Linked DNA regions of Lonchura striata. The protein of the gene in region 2 purifies or fractionates together with the protein of the main gene of each other region. This does not show direct contact. Links are inferred from orthologs where the notes say so. Each region holds a gene or a part of one and is shown on either strand. Other genes may lie near its edges.

Region 1 (8,047 bases), on a different chromosome or scaffold from region 2:
TCATTCTATGACACAAAGCTCTGAAAACCATCTCTACTGGCCTTCGTTAGCAGCTGCTGACAAAGAAAGGATTAACTGTCCAACTGAGCACAAGTTCCCAGTGAGATTTACTGCATTTCTCATCCACTCCTGTCTGTGTAGTTTCCAGAACAATTTTACTTTCTGGATGGTTGGGAAAATTAAAAATATATTCTTGTCCAAAGATGCAAAATACAAGGAAATCCTGATGCGTACAATGAGCTTTGTTTTAAGACACAAAGCATGTGCTGCTCTCTTTATTAAAGGACAGATTATTTACTACGGAACCCTTGGCTCCCCCACCAAGGGAGAGGCTGAAGCCCACAAATGAGTTCCTCTGCTTTAATACACCAAACACCATTTCTCTCATGACTTTTGTAGTGCTTATGAGTCCTCCTTCAGGAAGTTTCAGAACTTCAGTCCATTAAGACTTAGGAATCTTTAAACTTTAATTCATCAGTGAGAAACAACACAGAGCTTTTTTTTCTTTTTTTTTTAAGCCCCAGCTCTTGCCTGTTCTTTAAGCCCACATTGCCCAGCACAGAGTATTAAAAAAATAAATGCTTTCAATAATTTTCATGAAACATCTTCCAACAGGAAAAAAAAGGGCACTTTGTCTCGTCTACTCACTTGTAACTAAAACTTCGCTCAAATAGAATGGAATGGCTATGGCAAGTGTAAATTATTTAAAGGTAAATAAAAATACTGCTCCCAAGCACCCTCACACCAGTAACACTGCTTTATCCTCTTGATTACTCCCAAGTACAGAACAGGTCAGAATGTTCACTTGCTGATTTTGTTTTTTAAAATACATGCTTTTAACATAATAAAAATATTTTCAGAGGATTTTTGTGTATATTGGATACAACAGTTAATTTTCAAACAATTTTTTTGTATTGAAAGAACCAGAGACAGAAAGATCTGCTCTCCTTCTCAAGCTGAGGACCAGTATTGGCTGTGCAGATATTCCTGTGTATTAGCCAAGTTTAAAACAGACATCTTGTCCTGTCTACACGCTACAGACACAGAGAAAAAGCTTCTCTGATTCTAAAACTTACCTAAAATGTCCTGGCTTGCTGCTTTTTGCCATGTCATTTCTGAAAACCAAGAAAACCCCACACCCAGTTTTGAAGTGGGAAGCTACACTGTATACAGTGTATTTATGCAGTGTATTATTGACACACAGTCTATTATTTACAGGTAAAGCACAGCTTCTCTCCTTTACAACCCACCTGTACAGACTAATTTACTGGGAATACTTCCACCTTATACAATACGGAACACTATGAAAAATATCAAAAGTGACAGTTAAAAAAATGAATAGAACACTTACTGTGCTTATTCACTTCTAAGGATAATAAGAGATTTAGAGGTCTAGCACAAATACAATTTTTTTTGTAATTTTAACTTGGACTGTGGCATTTTGAGGCAAGTCTTGAGGCTATGTTCTTTTTTTGACGGACGCCTCATGCTCTGGAGATTGCAAAGCCCTGCAAAGCTCATTTAATCTGCCACCACCGAGAAGGTACAAAACACGCCAGAAGGAACCACGACAGCCTTTTTCTCTCGTGCCACAACTCGAACCGTCCAAGGACCAGGGATTGAGTAGCTGCTCTTTCTAAAAATAACCCGTGGAAGGCTGCTTCCAGCTGGGCTCAGGCTCCCAAAGAGTTGAGCTTAGGGCGATGGAAAGCGAGCGGTGACATGGGGCGGGGTGGGGTGGCCCCGGCTTTGTGCGGGCGGCACAATGAGCTCCGCCGGGGAGGCCGGGCCGCCGCCATGTTACAGCTCCGCGTCCATGTGCCCGGCACCGGGGGCACCGCAGCCTCTGCCCGCCCGCTCCGCCGGCCACGGGCACCGGGCGCGCTGCGGCCGCTGCACGGAGCGGGCATGTGGGGAGCCGAGCCCCGGGATGGCGCGGCTGGGAAAGGCCCCGCCGCGGGGAACAAAAGGCGGAAGGAGGGGGAAGGGAGCGGCGCCGCCGAGGGGGCTCCGGGCAGCGGGGGCGAAGGGGGGGTCGGCAGCCGCGACCCCGCCGGGCTCTGCTCCGCGAGCCGGGAGGAAACCGGGCTAGGTCCCGGGGCGACGGGAGGGCGGCCTGGGAGGGGGCAGGGGGACGCCGGGAGGGGAAGGGGACAGGCCGGGGGAGCGGCGCTCGCCCTTCTGGAACCTTCCAGCAGGCGGCCTCTGGGGGCCACGCCGGGAACAACCCGGGAGGGCTCGGCGGAGGGCCCGGCACAAGGGAGCGGAAGGGAAACAGGCCGGACGGGCTCGGGGGCAGGGGCGGCCGGAAGGCGGGGGACAAGGCGGGTGGGCACCCCGGGTGGGCTGGAGGATCAGAGGGGACGTGGGGATCACCTTCTTCTTCTCCAGGTTGCGCAGCTTCTTGTCGATCACCCCCAGGATCTGCTTCATGGCCTCGGTCTGCACCGTGGTGATGTTCACACCCGCCGCCGCCTGCGGGGCCGCCGCCGCCGGAGCAGCCTCGCTGCCCGGTCCCGCTTTGCCGGTGCTGCTGCCGGTGGTGCTGCTCGCCATGGTGCTGTTGGTGGCCGAGGGCATCTCTGTGAAGGAGGGAGGGCGGGAGAGAGACAAGAGAGCGGAGAGAGCGGCGGGCGCGTCACGGGGGGAGCGCGGACGGCGGGGACGCGGCCCCGCGCGCGCACGAGCCGCACCTGCCCCGGCGCGCGCGCCCCCCCCCAACCCGCCCCTCCCTAGCCGCGCGCGAGGCGGCGGTCACGTGACGGCAGCCTCGCGCCCAACGGTCATTTTCCCTTCACGCTCCCCTCCCCCCCCCGCCCCGCTCGGGGTGTCCGGAGGGGCCGCGCCGCCCCCCTCACCCTGTGCGCCACTGAGCCCGGGGGGGGATACGCTGCGCTCTCTCTCGCTCGCTAGGAATGGCCGCCTCAGCCACGCTCCAGCCCCGCCGCCCGCGCTGCTCCTGCTACCACGGCAGAGAGAGAGAGAGAGAGAGAGAGAGACGGAGGGAGGGCGAGACAGCGGCGGCGCGCACGCCGGCGCGTAGAGGCGAGGCGGCGCGGGAGCGCGCGGGGTCCTGGCCGGTCCGCGGGTGGCCGCAGAGAACGCCTGAGCCCGCGGCGGCAGCTGCTGCGCTGCCCGCGCGGGTCCTTCAGGCGCGCGGCGGGCGGCTCAGCGCCAGACACAATAGCGGCGCGTCCCTCAGCGCCTCCCGCCCGCTCCCGCCGCGCACCGGCCCCGGAACGCCTCTCGGTGCCCTGCGGCGAGCCCCCGAACCGTGCCACAGCGTCACGGCTCTCACTGAGCCCTAAGAGCCGCAGCTCACTTGCCGGGAACACTTGCTTCATCTGTGTGTCAGGCTGGGATTTGTGTTCCAGATACATCCCTGCGATCCCCACGTAGCGTGTTCAGTCACCAAAAGCTGCCACCGCTCAGTAAACCTTCTCTGCGACCAGTTTATTGTTTCAGTGTTAATAAATAAAATGCACCACCGGGGTTTCTGTGAGGAAAAGGAATTTTGGGATGAGTGCTCCAGATGCTTCGTGCGGCACAGCTGGAGAATGAAATGCCGCTGCCTTCATAAGGCCAGGAGCTAAATGGGAAAGGATTTGGTATTGAGTTGTCCTGGAATTAATGGGTGCAAGACTCTGGGAATAGAAATCCCTGAAAATCTAGCTGCACGTGGACATTGAAAATTTTGGTTATAATACGCAGTTTAAGACTGTATGTACTGTTATTTTTTAAAGTGTTGGGTATTTTTCTTTGATCTCTTTATTCGTGGATACACAGAATCAATGACATTGAAAAGAAGGAAAAAGCCCAGTCTTGAACACCTGGCCCAACCTCATGGGAGATGTCTCATGGCCCTTCCTCACCAAATCCTTGCCCTTGTTTCCATCCTGGTTCTTGCTCCCCAAGCTGATAATGCAGCAAGAAACTGTTTACTCGACAGGCAGATTTCCCCCCTCCACTCCATCTGTAAATGTTGCTCCTTACACTTCTGCTTTCCATGTATCTCTGCATTTTCTGGAGCAGCTCAATGCTTTGTCATATTGTATTTAGATATTTGCTTTACAAATCACTTCATTTTGCATAACAGGTTATGGAACATGTAATAAAGCATGCATCCCAATTATTTCTGTTGAATAAATGAGGTATAAAAACAAAATCTTCAATTATTGAAAGTCCTTTTCACTGTTCAACAAAAGGATTTTGGTAATACCACTGCATTTTTTAAATTCCATTGTATTTATGAGATTTAATTTCTATGGATTTACTTCTCCAAGCCCCATTCATGGGGGTTGAAATGACTTTTTTTCCCCAAGCAAAATGCAGTTTTTCTGTCAACATGTGAAGTGCTTGAGGCTTTTTGACCACAAAATACAGTGGTTTAAAATAACATGGAATTGTCTCACCGATTCCTATTAATTTCTCCTTTTTCCTCACATTGCCATTGCTATTCTCCATAAGTTCTGGGCACAGTTTAGGCAAATTTTTCAGCCAAGCTCTGATAGAGTTTGTACTCAAAACCTTTCAAGGTGTTTATTCTTCACGGAGAAGTGAAACATGAGGTAGCAAACGTTCATTGTCCCAGAAATAAAGGAAGTTAAAAGGCTGCTCTTGAGAGCAGTTATTGCACGAGATTGCAGTTAATCTCAGCTCCTGAAATATTTCTTACTACTTATGTGCTCATTGCTTCAGGCAGGTCTTGCTGTGAGTTATTGATCTGCTCCTTTCCCACCATTCCTGTACAAACAGTGACCACAAATTCCTCATCCTTCTGTGCCAACAGTATTGATCACCAGCACCTGGCAGAGGAAAACCCTGCGGAATTCCCAGTAAGAGCTGAGACCTTTGCTTGGAGGAAGTGTTGCTGAGCTGTGGGTAAACTCCATCCTGGCAGCTTCCAGCGTGATGAGTTTGTAATCAGCATGTGGGTCTCAGCATTTCCATCTCTCAGAGATAATTATCCTTGCATTTTGTGTTTGGGAGCTTTGCAAAATGAAGCTCAGCTCCGGAGCTGCTGGGTTTGGAGTCACGTTTGTCCAGTCCCCAGGGAAAGGCCTGAGAGGAGAGAAGGCCCCCCAGCAGAAGAACTTCCACAAATGGGAACCTTTAGAACACAGAACTGCTCAAGATGAAGGAAGTCACATTCCCGACCCTTCCCATTTCAAATTTCTTCCCTTTTGCCCTCTTTGCTCCCCTTTGATCGGGGATTTTTGACCAAGCCAAGCCTTGCCACTATCTCTGGGGAAAATCCTACAAGGAAGTAGTACTAGTCCTCTACTCCCTTGTCCTATTGCCAAGCTGAAAAGAAAAAAGGAAAGATTACAGCTTTTTTTTTCCCCTCCAATGCCCTAAAAATTATTTCCAAACAAAAGCAATGTGGCAGGTTGTGGGAAACGGATTTGCAAAGAATTCTCAAAACCTGACAGAAAACTCACAGTCTTATATATCTGTATACAAACACTAAGATTAAGTGTGCTAATTTAAGAAAGCCATAGAATAGAGATTACATTGTTAAGAGAGAAATTAAACTAAAACTAAATTTCAACAAGTTTCAAAATGTAGCCTTACAAAAAGACTAGATATTTTAGAAAACTAGAACGGTGAAAGATGCATTGTAGCAAGACCAAAGAGGTGATTAGTGTTAGAAATAATGGCAACATTGTGTGGCAAAAACAAATAAACTGAAAAACATTTATAAAGCATTGTAACCAAGAATAGGTTAGCTTCTGACAGAATAGCCTTTTTACATCTCATCATCGAGACTGATAATGGAATAAAATCTTTTAAAATGCCTCTCAGATGCCTCATCTCTGTAAAAACTTAGAAAACCAACACTAGCTTAGCTCCTTGTGAGCCCCAAGGATGAGCTGTGTCTCCCTGCAGTTCTGCCAGGCTCTGACCATTCCTGTAGATGTGCTCCTGTCTTCCCAAACCTGGCATCCCATCCCTATATCCTTCCATCTTCTGGTTCCCCACTTGTCCAAAGCTCATCAGCTTTTCCACCCTGCTGATCTGTTCCAAATTTCCCCAAACCAGGAACTCTGGCCCACTCAGCACTCTCTCCTTAATCACCACATCTACTCCCTGGTCATACTCAGAATTATCCTGAACTATGTAATGAAAGGAACATAATTAATAGCTTCCATTTTTTTCTGTGCTGGATTGTTTGGGGTTTTTGGTTTTTGGTAGTTTTTTTTTTTTTTAATTGGATTTGTTTTAAATAGGCTCCATAAGACTAAAATGAAATTTTGTTCCTGCACATCATTACAGGTCTGTTAATCAAGCAGTTCCCTGCCTGAGCTCATGGAATGTTATGGGATTTCAGCATTGCCAGTGTTCTGTCAGGTTATAGAGATAACCACAGCCTAAATTGAAAAGCAGATCCCATTCCACCTCTGGAGCACAGAAAATGGAAAGGACCAACCTCAGTTTCCAGTTCCCGGATTTGTTATACGAGGATTAGGGTTGCTAGGTTTTGAGGGGGTCCCAGTCTGCACATTTCAAAAGTTGGGGCTCCTGCTTATCAGACTGTTTTAGAAAGGTATCGCTTTATTTTTATTTAGGTTTCCTTTTTCCACAGGAATTTGCTCAAAGGAGAGAAATTCCCGTTCTATCTAAGCCCACAGGCTGGCTAACTTTCATAATAAAATGAGACCCAGACAAAATAGACTTCTCTGAATAAGGATTGAAAGCTCAGTGTATGTTTTTTGCCTGAATAAGATTAAAATACAAAGTTTTTATCAGAAATGTTAAACATTGATATTTTGGGAGACAAGTCAATAAAAAAATTCAGAAGGTGTTTGAGTTCAAAGGAGATTAAATGAAGTCTAATGGTATGATTAGTCAAAACTGACATAATTCCAATCCAATGCAGTGAAAAATTGATTAAATGCTACTAAATGATAGATTTCCCTACACAGCCATGGATGGGAAATCCTCACAAAAGGTATTTCTGTTTCAGTTCTTCTTCCCTTCCATGAAGCAATTGTTTACTGAAGTCTCCAGCTGCAGAACCAGGCTGGGACACTCCTTTGCTCCACTTTAAACTTCATGCAAAGCAGATCAAGCCTTAGTTTATGGACAAAGCCCTGGCACAGGAAGGGAGGAGGAGGTTGGTCACACATGCCAAGGAAGCTCTGAAAAGCAGCCCAAAACTGCCCAGGGCTTTATATTTGCCTGACTTAGCTAATTTGGATGGGCCCAGCTTACCACACTCTCCAGGATGTTTATGCCTGTCCTCCCTCTAATTTACTCTTTCAGTCATCTTTTTTTTATTTGTAAATTAGATCAAGTAATTCTGTCTTTATTTCCTCACTGCTAAGGAAAATATTGTGACAAATGCTGCAGCCCCAACCAAAGCATCCTCTTAAATAACAATCTTCTATTCAATTTCTTTTTTTCAGCCGCTTTAGTGTATCACAGCCATTTAAAGAAGAATACCCTGAGGCTATATGTCAAATTTAGGCTGATCATAGTCTGATTGTCTTAGATCTTTAATTCTGGAGAGCATCTACAGAGGTCGTCATCCCAAACTTTTAATCACCTCAGAAAATATTACTTTTTTTAACTCTTTTTTTTTTTTTCCTCAAAGAGATGTGCTTTGTAACTGTGGAGTTAAAAAAAAAAGGCTCTTACTGAAAGGATATTCAGCCCAGTGCTGAAATATATCATGAAAATCAATAATTGAAAGGCAAAGATGCTGCCAAAGGCCAGGTTTTACTGTAGATGGAATGGGTAACATGGGGCTTATGATGTGCCTAATAGCAACTTTTTACCTTTATTTCTATGAATAGAATAATTTTATCTTTATTTCTATGGCTCTTTCTATGAATGGAAGAGTCCAAATAGTTCTTGACAAATGAGCAGATCCAATGCCTGCCCTCTTACCCACCCCCCTGGGAAATTTGTATCTGAACCCGTCATCTCTTCAGCTGATTTGGTCAGCACAGTCATTAGAAAAACAATGGGTTTTGCTAATTATATTCATAATTTATTCATGCTCATAAGACCTGAAAATTGCCAATCAAACTTTACATTCTCC
Region 2 (7,272 bases):
GCAAACTCCAGCCTGTAACAACTGCACTGATCACACACAGACACTACAACTCTTTCTCCAAGGAGCCACAGCAACCAACACTTGGCCCAAGCTCATGTGCTGGCCCACCAAACAAGAAACAGCAAATGACTTGAGCAACATCTTGTCAGAGCAACATGTTTTCTTCAGCTGAAAACCCCCAAAAGACCCCACGTATTTATTATTTTCTTTCCACTACAGCCTGAGTCACACAAGATGTGTGCAGAACCGCAGCATCCACAATTTCCAAAGGATCAACTGGAGCTCAAAAAACACTGCAAAGCCTTAAGTTCCTGCCCTAAAGGGTTCAGGTTGCCTACTCAACTGGATCAGTAGGGCCCCGCCTCCCTTCTCAAAGTTCAAATCTGCCCTCAGAGCAGATAAGTGGATGAAAGTAGGCTCCTTAACCTAGTTTTTTTTAAGGGCTTCCCCTTCACATCTGTGACAGTTACTCCTATAACCTTCCCTCTCACTGTTTGCACCAGGTCAGACATTCAATTTTAACTACCCAGCCCACAGAATAGGAATAACATGCACTTGCCTAGACCTTTTTCCCAGCTGGCATAACTGGCCAGGCAAGAAAGGCCTCAATCAGCAGTTTCCAGTCCTGTATCCATAACTGGGGCAGGAGGCCTCCTGGTAGACACTGAACTGCAGCTTTCCCAATTCTCAGTACCAGCATCAAAGGACACGCTCCTCCTTCCAGTCTATGCCCATCCAGGTATTCCACAGGCTCATGACATTCTCACAAAGTGACCAGCTTGAGATTCAAGTCCAGACTGAATGACTATCCCCTTACGGTTGCCTACCTAAATACCAAGTATGTGCAGTATTTGAAGCTGAAATGCAAGGACTGCAAACAGGCTCCATTGTACAACATGTGGGCACTGTCAGGTACAGCAGTGATTGCAAGGATGGATAACAAAGACATTCCAAGCACTGGATTGCATAAATATTACATTCTAGTCCACACAGAGCACCCAGACTCATGCCATCTGCCTCAGCAGCAGCCTCGGAGCCCGGCTCTCCTGTTTGCCTGAACCCAACTTGTTTTTAACACGCACAAGCAAAAACACACCCCTGCTGACTTCATTCTTTTTCTCCTAATTCTGTCTAGCTCACCTTTTGCCCAGTAACAGCTTGGTCTGGGTTATTCCAAACAGTGTGTTTAGTTAACATGATCTGTTTGGACTCACCTCTCTACAGTAGTGGAAAGATAACCCCGATAAGCATTAAGACATACTTTGGTAGTACCTCCACTCCAGAGTTTGTCTTTCTGTCCCTCATCCCGGTTCCTGGAATTCTTTCTTTTTACCTCCAAATAGCCTCTCACGACATTTACCAGCAGAAAAAGCCAAGGTGGCAGAGGAGCTGTCAGAAACGCAGCTGCCCTCCCGGCTTTGTCCGCACAGTGCACCAGGTCTGCATCTGCTGTGTCAGCCCAGCAGCCCAGAGCAGCTGCAGGATGCTTACCGGTCCGTCTGGAGAACGTGGATGAGGTGTTCCATGGCTTGTATGCCGACCTCCAACCGGTATTTCTGTTTGGACGACACACAAAAAAGTTCACGGTCGAGGCCAAACACCACAGAAAGACTGGTTCACAGCACCTGACAGTACGCCGCTATTCAGGAAGTTGGCCACGTACCTTGGATAACGACTTGAGAGCACGGACAGCATCCCTCCGGTCATCCAGCAACGTGGACGAAGCTACGCGGTCACACAGCTTCTGGATCTGGAAGGGCACGTACAACGCACGGGATAAGCCGGCGCGGCGGCAGGGGACACTCCCGGCACACGGGAACCGCACGGGAGAGCCGCTCCCTGCCCGCCGAGCCGGCAGCCCCGAGCGGCACCGGGCACCACCCGGGCCTGGCACGGGCAGCGGCGGCAGGGCGGCCCCGGCCGGGGCTGTCGCGGCGCGCCGGCCCTGCCCCGGCCCGGCCGCGTCCCCCGCTCACCGTGTCGGCTCCCGAGGGCTGCGGGCCGGCGCTGGGGCCGCCCATGACGCCCCGCAAGAAGTTCATGGCGGCTCGGCCCGGCCGGCGCTGCCGCCGCCCCGCGGAAGCGGCCGCCGCGCCTGCGCTGCCACGTGGCGCGGCCGCGGCCGCGGGCGGGGCCGGCGCCGCTCGGCCCGGGAGCGCCGCCGCTCCTCCCGGCGCCTGCCTCCCCAGCAAAGGCTCGCCCGGTGCCTGCCTCCCCAGCAAAGGCTCGGCCGGTGCCTGCCTCCCCAGCAAAGGCTCGCCCGGTGCCCGCCTCCCGAGCAAAAGCTCGCTCGCAGTGAGCAGCGGATCCGCAGCGGCAGAGGGCGTTCACCTGTCTGGGAAGTAAAAAAGCGCACGACTCGAGCACGGTTCCCCTCCCGCGTCTCGGCGTCTGTGCATCCTCAACCACCGCTAGGCAAACGCACAGGCTTGGCATGCAAGACATCGCGTTCACTGCTAAGGAAAAACAGCGAGGTGATAGCTACCGTGATCTATAAGTAGAAAACGTCCAAACACTTTTGAAACTGAGTCACCTCCGTGAGAACCAGAAGCTTACCTAGATAAGGCTGGTGGTTCAAGTCCAAGAGCACCACGAAGTTCTTAAATTACTTCCAGATGCTGAATGCCCCCATTGGGTGCTACTGCAAAATATTTGAGATTCCTGCTGAGGAGCATCAAATCCTTCATGCACTGCACCCACATATCAGCTTCCAGCCTAATGCTGCCTTCCTGATGGTTTCTGACAGGGTTTGACAGTGTTTAGCTTTCTGCATATCCAATCAAAGTAATTTTAATTGCAACCACAGCACAGAAAGGGCCAATGCCATCACTTCCAAAAACGACTTCACTTCCTTCCAGGGAGACCCCTCTCACGTGACAGTCTAAATCAAAAGCTTTGAGGATTTTATTTTCCTTATCAAGTATAGAATGAAATGAACCACCCAGCACATGGCCCAGAGGGTTTTCACCTTGTTGGGCAACAAAGAACCCTTCAGTGAAGTTTGGTCACCAAATGATGAGGTGGTTATAGCAACCATAGGCATGTCGGCACTTTCCTGATGCAGAGGAAGGCAACTCCAGCCTGCAGTCACCACACAGCCCCAGCTGTGCTGCAGCCTTGCTGAGCACAGTCATGCATACCCGGGCTATGCATTCCTGACTGCTTCTCCTCCTCCCATGCCTGCCCAGCAGCACGTCAATGCTACAAAACCCAGCCAGAGCTCACTCACAACAGCCCTAGCTTGTAAAGGTCCAGATCCTCTTACCCCTCATCCCCCACCAGCTGCAAAACAAGCCAGAGAAAAGAAAAAATTCCTACCAAACCAAAGATGTTGAGAGATTCAAATGTTAGGAAAAGTTCCCTCTCTTCCCCACAGTGATGATTCAAGGCCCATTCTGGGTCAGTGCAGATGCACAGCAGAACTCACCTGACACGTCCAAGTTGGTGTAATGAGATTCTGGTCCTTGGCAGAAAAACATCAAACAACCAACACCAGATTCTTCCACAAGCCAAAATTTATTTCAGTATTTCCACCCTCACATAGACAACCCCAGCAAACAAAGTGAGCTGCTTCCAAAAGATGTGTCTGACGCACCCAAACTGGCCTCCTGGAAACGTAATATACTCCAAGGGCAAATTCTAAAGGAGCTACCTGACATTCAACCTGCAGTCACAGATAGTTTTTTATTTCAGCATAAATCGAAAATGTTTCTGTTTCAACGAGAAGCTGCAAACCTCTAACGGCGCAATGTATGGGGGCACAGCTCTCCGCAAACCCCTGCTGTATCCCCACACTGACCGCCCCGCGGTTCCGCAGGCTGGAGCTCCGTCCAAGCGACACTGCTCCGGCAGGCAGCACCAGGAGGAACCGAGCTCTCCCGGCCACGCTCCACGACAGCCACCGGCGCCTTGGGGCCACGGTAAGGGCCGGAGCTAAGGCCCTGCCCGCCGCTCCGGCCGCCGCCGCTCGGAACCATCGGCCCTCCCCTCCCTCCCGGCCGGGCTAAACGCGCCTGGCTCCCGCCTGACGTCATCGCGCCGCCCGCTGCTGATTGGCGGAGAGCGCCGGGGGCCGCCCCGCCCGTCCCCCGGGCGTGCGCAGGCGCGCGCGCACGCAGGCACGCACGGGAGCCGCGGCCGCCCGCCCTCCCCCGCCCGGCTGTGACACCGCCGCCGCCGCGCCCCGCTCGCCCTGTGCTGCCCGCGCCGCGGGACGCGCCGCCCGAGGGACACGCCCGCCGCGCCCGGCTCCGCGCAGCTCCCGGCGGCCTGGGCGAGAACGCGCCCCGGCCCCGCGCACCGAGACTTTTGTCCCTTAGGTGAGCGGGGCGGGGGGCGGGGTAGGCCCCGGCGCGGGCTCTGTTTGTGTGCGGGGCGGCGGCTGCTCAGCGGCCGCTGAGGGCAGCGGCGGGGCGGCGCTGAGCGGGGCTGGGGGCAGCGCCCCGGGTCCCGCTTTGCCCTTCGCTGCCGGCTCGGAGCGCGGGGGGGCGGCTTTTGTTCGCCGTCACCTTGGCGGCTCTTCCGCCTCGCCCCGGGCGGCGCGGGGAGGCCGGGGAAAAGCGCCCCCAGGCCCCGCGTCGCTCGATGCCGGCCGCCGCTTCCTGTCTCACCTCATGGATCGATCCCTGTGCAGGGGCCTCCAGAGGTACGTGGGCTTCGGCATGGCCAGGGTGATGCTGCGGCGGCCTCGGTCGTGCTGCCGAAGCTCTCTTAGCTCCCCATCCTCGGGTCAGCGGGCCCCTCTGCTCTCCTGCAAATTAGTACAGCCGTGGTAACCTGGCTATGAGGGCTGCCCCAGCTCTGCAGACCTCGCCTTTCTGTGCTTCCCCTTTCCTCAGTCGTAACCTGGGCTACTCTGTTTGCACACGGAGTGATATTGCAGAAGTTGTTGTGAGCACCTTTTATTCTGCAGAGCTGGATACCTCGAGTAGGTCTTTTCTGAGCTGCTCTCATTTGTCACCTGAGTTGAGCTCACTGGGTTCTCCGGCTTCTGCCTCCCTTCTTCTCAGAGGTCATTGCAGTTGCAGTGTGGGTGCCCAGGAACATCTCCACAACAAATCTTTTAAATCCCTTGGGTAGCTGGGTGAGCCTGGCTCTTGAGCTTGGTTCCAGGTACCACTGCATAAAAGGACTATCACAGGAGAGAATGAGATGATATGACATTATTGTTTAATTTCAAGCAGAAAGTCTTGGTCAGTCGCGTAGACATTGTTACTGTGGCCTTCCGTACTGGTTTGGCAACTCTGAAGCCCTCTGTATGTTCTTCAGTTCGTTGTGCAAATGATCTACTTTCCTGCAGAAAGCAGTGTAAAGATGCCCAAGGTATTTTGGAACAGTTGGGAAATAGGGGAAGTTGTAACAATCTATACCAAATTTCTGAATGTAATGTGGCTCTGTTACTGTAGCACTGCAAGTGAGTATAGGATTTGTCAGCTTGGATTGTGAGCTGAGAAGTGGTTGCTGACAAACTGCTGTTGCTTTATCTCCATAGTTGACTTCTCGTGCAGGAGGCATTCTGTGTCCATTGTGGGTGTGGGTACAGGGCCATGCCTCCCCTAGGAAAGCTTGTTATTCTGAAGGATTCCTTCTTCTTGTGATCCCTGGTTGCTTGGATGTCAGAAACATAATCTTGATTTGCCATTGGAAGTGTTCTTACAGTTGCTGCTTGGCAGATGTGGGGTTACTGTGTGAAATTATGAGCTGTATTTGGTGACTTTTTTCATTAGAAATGGAAAATCTTTTCTCTGAAAACTAGCATTAGCTGAGGAGAAAATCAAATGTCCATCATCCATGTAACTGTTTTCCTTTATGGAACTGAGGATTCAGTTTAAGCATCTCTTCTCATGCTTAAGATTATTTCACAGCACTGAAAATACAGTGGGGATCCACTGTGCCTTAAGAGGCTCAGTGTTGGATTTGAGTCTTCTGCTGTGGTAGTTGTGGTGCTGGATGTCACTGCTTTTGAGATCATTTAACAAAGAAAGAACTGTGTTTCAACTCAAGTAAACATGAAAAGATGGATATGTCAGAGTGATAGATGTATCTGATGAGACACTAGGAGAAAGGCTCCGAACCTGCTCGTGGATGGTGACACAGAGGTGGAATGGCTCTCCCAGAGCAGATCACTGTTGTTACTGCTCTTTGGGTGCGTGTTGGCCCTTTTGGACTGCACAGCTAAATTGCCCAGAGGATGGTCCCCTATGGCAGCTGTGTGCCCAAGATACAGGGTGCTGGTAAACTTCTCCCAAAAAACCCCAACCACAAACCAAAACTAAACCAACCTCTCAGGAGAGCTTGCTTTGAAAGAACTGCGTGCTGTGCCTTTGAGCCCAGCCACTTGAGAATGTAGCACAAAGGTAAAGGAGATCATAAAGGAAAGGCATTCTGATAAATTACACATGGTTGCTGGTCTTTGCTGCAGAATGAGGATGCTCTGAGTGCTGACCTTGCTGAGCATGACAGAGGGATGGTCGTGCCAATACTGGCATGTTGTCTGGGACTTGTGTTGCCCTTTCAGGATGTTTTTCCTTGCAGTTGGTGCTGCTTTGCCTGTCGATGGGGTACCTGCAGGGCGAGCTGTGGCTGCTCACACGATGTGCACCGCTGATTCGTGCCTGCGGATTGCAGGAGCAAGCCTGTCCTGCAAGGCATTATCTTTTGCTTGTCTACAGTAAGAAACACAGATTAAGACTGATAAATCTGGGTTCAGGACAAATGTGTCCAAGATTGTGAAAGCTGCTCTCCCCTTTCCTTCTGTTTTCCTTCAGCTCCAGAGGTGTGCGAGGTGGCACTTGTAGCTTTTGCTTAGTGTGCCCGCTGTGTGGGGAACATCTTCCTGATTTGCAAGAATATTTTCTCAAACTTATTTTTGTTTTAAGTGTTATATTCAAATGATTAATGACTTGGACAAGAATTGCTAACTTGTGGATATACAAACAAGCCATGCTGTTGCAGATTTATGGAAAATAATAGCTTGATGTCTGTGTGCCTATAGTTACAGATAAATTGTTCCATGGATGACTTGTTCAGAGGATGAAATTTGCTTGTCAATAGAACAAAATGTTATTTGCTTATAGTTTTTTATTAAAACAGCTGGTGAGGCCCACAACTCCCTTGCCAAGCTTAGAGATTTCTTTTGATGGAGGTTATGTTCAAGTTCAGGTAGCTTTCTTCAGCTACTGTCAGAATTCAGTTCAGCCTTGTTCTGGTTTGTTTGGTTTTTGTTTCTTTTTTCCCAGGTAGAATTGGTGAAACATCCAGGCCACTTCACTA

What was found. The genes of interacting proteins can lie anywhere in the genome.
Region 1: the proteins of G3BP2 (region 2) and CAPRIN1 purify together in Homo sapiens (affinity purification with mass spectrometry; 5 studies listed by BioGRID and IntAct, with this or other methods). This does not show direct contact. The link is inferred for Lonchura striata from reciprocal best matches to the Homo sapiens genes G3BP2 and CAPRIN1.

Annotation. Positions count from the first base shown.
Region 1 is NC_134608.1:54,438,354-54,446,400, forward strand, and holds the start of CAPRIN1 (caprin-1), read right to left. Parts: upstream 3,056-8,047; 5' UTR 2,859-3,055; intron 2,583-2,858; 5' UTR 2,581-2,582; coding exon 2,377-2,580; intron 1-2,376. UniProt on the Homo sapiens protein: mRNA-binding protein that acts as a regulator of mRNAs transport, translation and/or stability, and which is involved in neurogenesis, synaptic plasticity in neurons and cell proliferation and migration in multiple cell types.
Region 2 is NC_134606.1:73,018,223-73,025,494, reverse strand, and holds the start of G3BP2 (ras GTPase-activating protein-binding protein 2), read left to right. Parts: upstream 1-4,188; 5' UTR 4,189-4,319; intron 4,320-7,272. Other genes in the region: USO1 (general vesicular transport factor p115), read right to left, coding at 1,492-1,556, 1,664-1,750, 1,977-2,042.